2 linked regions of the Oryctolagus cuniculus genome follow. The protein of the gene in region 2 binds, or shares a complex with, the protein of the main gene of each other region. Links are inferred from orthologs where the notes say so. Each region holds a gene or a part of one and is shown on either strand. Other genes may lie near its edges. The genes, in order: POLR2B and GTF2E2.

Region 1 (3,808 bases), on a different chromosome or scaffold from region 2:
CGTCAATGATCCTTGGTGTCTGTGCATCTATTATTCCTTTTCCTGATCATAACCAGGTTGGTGGTACTTCTGTCTTCTGGTTGGTGGTGATTTGGGGGAAGTAATAAAAATTAGAGGTTCATCTGCGGTCTCTGCCAAAGAGAAAAGCTATTCACCAGAAGACTGTGGACTGCTACAGAATGAGCGTCTGACTTGCTTGCTTTTGTGTTTCATTGATAAGAGCCATAATTGATTATTCCAAATGGTTGTCACTTACCTTCAGAAGAAATCCGGAACTTTACCGGTCATGTTTCTGAGTTACGGTCAGTCTTTTCCTTTAGAGATACTAGATTTTCATTGGTTGTGCTTCTCATTTCTGTCTGTAGTCCCCTAGAAACACATACCAGTCTGCTATGGGGAAGCAGGCTATGGGGGTTTACATCACCAACTTCCACGTTCGAATGGACACTTTGGCCCACGTTCTGTATTATCCTCAAAAACCGCTTGTGACTACACGGTCCATGGAGTATCTGCGTTTCAGAGAGCTGCCAGCAGGTATGTTTGGTATTGTTTTACAATGTTTTGAGACTCTATCATGCTTATGACACTTCTGGGTGCTTGGGAGGATTAAAAAAAGTACATATGACAGAGTGCCTGTTCCCAAGGATTTAATGTGGTGGGATCCACAAAACAGAAGGGTATGTGGAGAGTGTTACGATTGAGGTCCAAAGTCCTCTGGAGGCACAGACTAATGAGGTGACTAATTCCTGTTGGAAGTCTAGAGGCAGTTTCTCTTAGATTTTAGACTGGAGTAAAGTTAGTCAGCAGGTACTTGGATGGAGAGGTGGTTTGAGCAAGGCCCTAGATGTGGGAAGGTATGAGATCCAGGAACAGCAGTGGTTACTCAAGTTTAATGTGGCTGATTTGTAAACACCATGATAGTTCAAAGACTATTTGGGAAAATGGAGCTAAAAGATGTTTATTGTGGTGCAAAAATTTTGAAATCCTGCATATGCAGGGTCTTTGAAAAGTTCGTAGAAATAATGTATTTTTTTTTTTTTTTTTTTTGTTTTGGACAGGCAGAGTTAGACAGTGAGGGAGAGACAGAGAGAGAGTGATAGACAGTGAGAGACATTCAGAGAGAAAGGTCTTCCGTTGGTTCATTCCCCCAGTGGCCACTATGGCTGGAGCTGTGCCGATCCGAAGCCAGGAGCCAGGTCCTTCTTCCTGGTCTCCCATGCGGGTGCAGAGGCCCAAGCACTTGGGCCATCCTCCACTGCCTTCCCGGGCCGCAGCAGAGCTGGACTGGAAGAGGAGCAACCGGGACAAATTCCGGCGTCTCAACCGGGACTAGAACCCAGGGTGCCGGTGCTGCAGGTGGAGGATTAGCCAAGTGAGCCATGGTGCTGACCAGAAATAATGTATTATTTCAAATTTTTTGCACCAAATAATGACCTTTTAATTCTATTTTCCATGAACTTTTTCAAGTAGCTTTGTATATGGAATGAAAGCTTTTTTTAAAAAAGAAAGTTTTTGCTTGAGTCCCAGATGATTCTTTAATGCATATTTTTAAATTCCCTGTAGGCATCAACTCAATTGTGGCCATCGCCTCATACACTGGGTATAACCAGGAAGACTCCGTGATTATGAATCGTTCTGCTGTAGACCGAGGCTTTTTCAGGTCAGCCTTTTAGAAAATCTGTCAAAACACAGAGGCAGTGGAAATATAAATTTTTAATTGAAAGTATTTAAAATAGGTTTGAATGTGTTGTACGTACTCTAGAAAGTGAAAGGCCTGGTTGATGGCCACCAGCAACTGAAGATACTGCTTGTGTCTTGGGCTATTTGGATGTGAATAGTTTGAATCTTTTTTTGGTAGGCAAATATATTTACATTCAGATAATATAGAAGAATGAAAGTGAACTCCCTGGAAACTTTGAGCAGACCTTGGGTGACCAGGGTGATCAGGTTGTTGTGGAAGGGATTCTTGGGTTAGGTAGGAGGTTAGGCTCTGTGCCCTTGGGTCCTTCTTCCTCCTACCCATAATTTCAGTTAGTTGAGGTTATGTGTCAGATGTAACATGCATAGCCCTTGTGATAGCATTTAGGATTTAACCTCATCCCTTGATAGCTACTTTGTGTCAGATTCATGGTTTAAACTGGGTCCAAATATTAATTCAGTGAAAAGTTGGTTGGAGTATTCTAAGCCCTGTTAGAAAATAGAAGTTACCTCTGGAACCATGTATTTGTAGGTCTGTTTTCTATCGCTCATACAAAGAACAGGAGTCGAAAAAAGGATTTGATCAAGAAGAAGTTTTTGAGAAACCCACCCGTGAAACATGCCAGGGTAAGTGACACCAAGATTTAAATTCTGGAATTCATAGTTAAGTTACCGTGGTTTTCCTAAGTAATTTTGCTGAGGGTGTCTCACTGTGCTCTTGTTAATTTTTTGTAGTCATTGCTAGTGTTCACATTTAAGAAAATGTTAATTTCCAGAAGGCCTTGCCCTTGGCCTTTTGTAGCAGGGGCCTTGCTTCAGACCTTCCCTGCTGGTAGGCTGGGAATGAGGGGGAAATTTAGGAAATCAGAGACGTCATGTGACTTTGGGGCACACCTCACAACGCCAGTCCTGCTTGTTCTGTGTCTGTCTGTCCTTCAGTTGACACATTGATATCAACCCTCTACACTGTGGTAAGAACATAATGATTTTTCAACCACAGTATTTGTAAACAGTAAAAATAAATGACAGGACATTTACCACTTGTTGTTTCTTCTAAAAAACTCAAACTCCCCAGCTACTTGTTTCGTAGTAAGTAGTTCATTTAAGAGCTGCTTATGCAGTGGGGTGGATGGACGTCTCAGGGCTCTGCTGTGATTTTGACTCCTGATGGCGTTGCCTGGTGTGTAATGTGTTTGTTCCCGGTAGCATCTTCCGGGTCCTCCATTTCTGTGGGTGGTTCTCAGTGTTGGTGAATTGGTATTTAGTGGTGTGCAGATCACATTTGATGAGATGCACAGTTTCTGTGGAAGAGGTGTGCCCAGGGCATAGATACTGTTTCACACCTCCCATGGGGATCAGATGATGGTGGCTCACTTACCCAGTCACTCAGCGATGTCTGTCGTGGGAGAGTCTGATTTACCAGTGTGCAGTGTGGTGTTCTTTTTCTTTGTAAACTTTTTTCTTCGTAGGCTATGGTATTACAGGGTTCAGAATAGTATGTAATACTTGGAATAAGGGCAATACGTCATCACTAAGCATGGTTCATAGTGTTAGAGAACTCTCTGTCTTGCAGCTGATTCAGGTGTGTGGTTTTTAGTCTTTGTTGGCAAGTATGTGACCTTTTTAGTGCTTTTCTGTCTGGTAGCAACATTTCAGGAAATCCTGTGTCCATCTCCCCACAGGCATGAGGCATGCTATTTATGACAAGCTGGATGATGATGGTTTGATAGCTCCAGGCGTGCGTGTGTCTGGGGATGATGTTATTATAGGCAAGACAGTCACATTGCCTGAAAATGAAGATGAACTGGAGAGTACAAATCGACGCTATACCAAGAGAGACTGTAGTACTTTCCTCAGAACCAGCGAGACGGGCATCGTGGATCAGGTCATGGTCACTCTCAACCAGGAAGGATATAAATTTTGCAAAATAAGGGTGAGTACAGGTTTAACATGTAGGTGCTTTTAGAAAGTACAGCAGTTCCACTTAATTAACTAACCTATTTTTCTATGACTCCAGGTACGCTCTGTCAGAATTCCACAGATTGGAGATAAATTTGCTAGTCGCCATGGTCAAAAGGGTACTTGTGGTATTCAGTATAGACAAGAGGTA
Region 2 (4,427 bases):
AGCAGCTCAGATTTAAGATGAAGTCTCGAGCACTTTGCTCTAAAAACAATGAACAGGGGCTGGTGGGTAAAGCCACCACCTGCAAGGCGGCATCCCAAATGGGTGCCAGCTCAAGTCCTGGCTTCTCCACTTGTGATCCAGCTCCCTGGTTAATGGCCTGGGAAAGCAGTGAAAGACGGCCCAAGTGTCTGGACCCCTGTCACCCACATGGGAGACCCAGAAGTTGTTCCTGGCTCTAGGCTGTCTCAGCCCTGGCCATTGCAGCCACTTGGGGAATGAACCAGCAGATGAAGATCTGTCTCTCCCTCTAAATCAGACTTTAAATAAATCTTTTAAAAATGAATGAAATGTGAACTGAAGTGCTAAGAATTAGAAATACACCGCACTGATAAGGACTAATCAGAGTGAACTTCAGTAAGAACAGTCACTGTACCACAACGCAAACATCTACCTTCTCTGAGTTTTGATTCCTAACAGTCACACAGCCAGGCAATCCATAAAACCTCTCTAGATCCAACTTCCTAAGTAAAATAAGGACACTACCAATGCTGTCTACATCTAGTCCAGCAGTAAGAAGAAAGTGACACTGGTTTTTTAAATATTTTAAAGACAAAGTGACAGAGAGGGACAGATCTTTCATCTGCTAGTTCACTCCCCAAATGCCAGGTATGGGGCAGGCCAAAGCCAAGAGCCAGGAACCTCATCCCGCTCTCCCACGAGGGTGGAAGGGCCCAAGCACTCAGGTCATCTTCCTCTGCTTTCCCAGACACATTAGCAGTGAGCTGGATTGGCACCCACATGGGATGTCGGCATCACAGGTGACAGCTTAATTTGTTATGCCACAATCCCAGTGCCAAAACTGATTTTTTAAAGCCATATAAATAAGTTATTTTGGTATCACTATTTAAAGATCTGAAGAGAAAAGAATGATTCTTGTGGTGTGAGGAAGGCAGTTTTGGGAGGTGGGATGGTATGAGGACAGCAACAAGAAAGTGAGATTCATAACTGAGAAGATGGGGACAACAAGCAGGTTGTGAACTTTTTTTTTTTTTAAGATTGATTTATTTAGGGGCTGGCGCCATGGCTCACTTGGTTAATCCTCCGCCTGCGGTGCCAGCATCCCATAAGGGCGCCGAGTCCTAGTCCCGGTAGCCCCTCTTCCAGTCCAGCTCTGTGCTGTGGCCCGGGAGTGCAGTGGAGGATGGCCCAAGTGCTTGGGCCCTGCACCCCATGGGAGACCAGGAAGGAGGCACCTGGTTCCTGCCTTTGGATCAGCACATCGCCGGCCGTAGCAGCCATTTGGGGGGTGAACCAACGGAAGAAAGACCTTTCTCTCTGCCTCTCTCTGTCAAATAAAAAAAATTTAAAAGGAGGTTTATTTATTTGAAAGTCAGAATTAGAGAGACAGAAGAGGAAACAGCAACAGCTGTGACTGGGCTCAGCCTAAGCCAGGAGCTTCTTCCAGGTCTCCCACATGGGTGCTGGGGCCCAGGCACTTGGGCCATCTCCCACTGCTTTTCCAGGCCATTAGCAAGGAGCTGAATCGGAAGTGGAGCGACTGGAAACCGAACTGGCACCCATATGGTATACCGGCACTGCAGGCAGCCCCAGCTGAGCCACAGCACAGGCCCCAGGTGGTGAATTTCTGAAACAGGAAACCTTTCTAACGGTTTATCTCACTTTGTAATGACAGGTAGATAATCTAGGCTTTTAAAGAGGACTTTAACATATTTTAAATAAAGCCCAACAGTCTAGCAAAGCCTAAATGGTTAACAGTTCCAGATCCTCATAACTCTGGGAGACAACAGATGACCCAGTTGTTACTAGTTTAATATGTGAAATCCAAAACTAAGGCGGTAGGGTGAGATTGACACACGCCAATAAACCAGGATCCGAATACCCTGACTCCTACAAGTTGAGCGCTGGAATGCCCGCAGATGAAGATCTTTCACCACCCGACGCTCCGCCTAGCTTTACCTGCCTGTACCGACTTCGACATTTCTGAACTGACCTCTGTAGCCAACAGGACGCGACACTATGCCCGATTTACATTTACAAACACAGCAGCACGACACAGACCGCTGAGTGTTTCCGCAGATGGAAACCGGGAGACAGACCCACACCCCACGACTCGCCCTCTTCCAGCCTTTCGCGGCTTTCCCGGCCTCAGCCCCAGGGGTGCCCGGCTGACCGACGGCGCAGAGGTGCGCCCAAGGGGGACCCCGGCGTCCTGCCGGGGCAGACGCCTGCAGAGTTCTCCGGAAACTCCTGTAATTACAGACCACGAGCGCGGGCTCCCCGAGGCAGCTGGAAAGCCGGTCCGGGTGTGAGCAACTCAATCACAGCCTCGGCGGGCAGGACGCCGTGGCGCCCCGAGCCGCACACGTGCGGTTCGCTCGGCCCACGAGGGGCTCAACCCGCGCGCGACCCCACTGCCGATTTCCCCCTCTTTTCAACCCAAAAGTTTGTCCCGTGAGCCCCAGGCCTCAAAGACAGAGCGCCCACGGAGCTGTTAGCGTGTCCGAAGGGTCCCGAGACCCAGCCCCACGAAAAGTGAGGACCTGCGAGGAGAGCCGCGTCGCGGGGCGAAGAACAACAGGCCAGGGCTCGCGCCCCTCACCTGGCGGTCGCAGCCCTTACCAGAGAGAAGAGGGCAGCCCCACGCGACCCGCCGCCGACTCCCTGCGCCTCCGCCTCGGCCAGCCGTCCCCGCCGGCGCTGCCGTGGCTTCCCGCTCCTCGTCAGCGCCCTCGCCAGCCTGCGCGCACGCCCAGCGCCGACCCGCCAGCTCAGGGGTCTCGCCACTGGCGGCGGCGGCGGCGGCGGCTCCGCCCCGCCCGCCACTTCCTGATAAGGCAGCTAGGATCAGTCCCGGCAGCCACCGCGGCGCCTTCGCTGCCGAGAACGCGCATGCGTCATCGCGTACCCCGCGAGAGTAACCGCGGGAGCTGAACAAGCCGGCTCGGGCGTCGGGATCTCCATGACAACGGGAAGGTGGCTGGGGCGGGGCGGAGGCCGGGACTCAGGTGGGAGGCGGTGCTAAAGAAGATGGACGCAGCCTGTCTGTGCCGAAATTCGAAGTTAGGAAGTCCTCTTTCGGCAGGCAGGCTCTGGAGTCTAACCCGAGGGCGACGCGTTCTGGCGGCGTTTATTGTGTGACTGTCGCTCAGATGCCGCTCACCGGCACCTGAACCTGAGAGAACGTTGTAGCTGTTTCAAAGTGGCGAAAAAGGCCCCGTGGAACTAAGTGACTCGTTCGCAGCAGAGAGAGCAAAGGCGAGCCCACACGGGCTCCTTCCCGCACACCTGTGAGCTGTCTGTCACAGCAAAGGATCTCGGACTGCGACAGGAGGTGCTGGAAGCGAAACAAGAATAAAACGAAAACCATCGCCTGGCTCGCGCTCTGCCGCTCTCCGTTCCTGTTCTGAGAACCTACAGCAGCAGCGTGGCCAGCGCTTACCTATTGTGAAGCTGCCCTTTAATTACTGCTGGTTACTCCTCAAGTTACTTAACCTGTATCTCCATCTCTTCTGGGAAATGGGGATAATAATGGTACTACCGTGATGGGCTACTTGGACTGTGGCGACAATGAAGTAACGCATAAGTCAAACCAGAGCCTTTGCCTTGAGCAATCCGCTCCGAATTATCAGGATTTGGGGCTGGTGTTGTGGCACAGCTGGTTAAGCTGCCACCTTTCACACCTGGATCCCATATCAAAGTGGTGGTTCACATCCCAACTACTCTGATCCAGCATCCTGCCAATATGCCTTGAAACGCGGAAGATGACCCAAATACGTAGACCCCTGCCACCCACATGGGAGCCCGGGAAGGACTTCCTGCCTCCTGGCCTCAGCCTGGTGCAGACCTCAGTGTCGCAGCTGTTTGGGGAGTTAATCAGTGTTGGAAGATCTGCCTGTCACTCTCTGTTGTTCTGCCTTTCAAATACATTAATCTTTAAAAAAAAAAAAATCAGTATTTACCCAAGGAATTCATGGAAAAGTGGCTTTGAAAATATGTTTATTTTGGTGCAAATTATAAATGATAGATGTTGTCAACAGTGGTTATCACTCTGGCTTCTACTGCAAGTTGCCTGTGATGAGGTCATAACACTGAAAGCAATGACTGCATTTATTCAAAACACTTTTAAGTGATATCCTGTACCCTGAATCATTTCCTCAAGAGAAGTCCATAAATAGATTCATATGATCTATAATCTGTAATTAGGCCCGTTCTTGTGTCAGAGGTGCTTAAAAATGGTCATCACCCTATAAATGAACTCAGAAAGGGGTCCTGTTTCTCTGCTGCCAAGGTTGACCACATGACCAATTTGTTTCCCAACAGCCACATTAACTTGATTTCAGAGAGTCCAATATTCGTAATTTATATTCTGCCATCTCGCACCTATTACACATTTAGGACACCATCTG

The links.
Region 1: GTF2E2 (region 2) and POLR2B share a complex: the UniProt entries of both Homo sapiens proteins name them as parts of the TBP-based Pol II pre-initiation complex. The link is inferred for Oryctolagus cuniculus from reciprocal best matches to the Homo sapiens genes GTF2E2 and POLR2B.

What each region holds. Positions count from the first base shown.
Region 1 is NC_091439.1:107,652,819-107,656,626, reverse strand, and holds part of POLR2B (DNA-directed RNA polymerase II subunit RPB2), read left to right. Parts: coding exon 1-56; intron 57-365; coding exon 366-534; intron 535-1,563; coding exon 1,564-1,660; intron 1,661-2,230; coding exon 2,231-2,325; intron 2,326-3,380; coding exon 3,381-3,631; intron 3,632-3,715; coding exon 3,716-3,805; intron 3,806-3,808. UniProt on the Homo sapiens protein: Catalytic core component of RNA polymerase II (Pol II), a DNA-dependent RNA polymerase which synthesizes mRNA precursors and many functional non-coding RNAs using the four ribonucleoside triphosphates as substrates.
Region 2 is NC_091433.1:80,687,348-80,691,774, forward strand, and holds the start of GTF2E2 (transcription initiation factor IIE subunit beta), read right to left. Parts: upstream 2,864-4,427; 5' UTR 2,641-2,863; intron 1-2,640. UniProt on the Homo sapiens protein: Recruits TFIIH to the initiation complex and stimulates the RNA polymerase II C-terminal domain kinase and DNA-dependent ATPase activities of TFIIH. Both TFIIH and TFIIE are required for promoter clearance by RNA polymerase.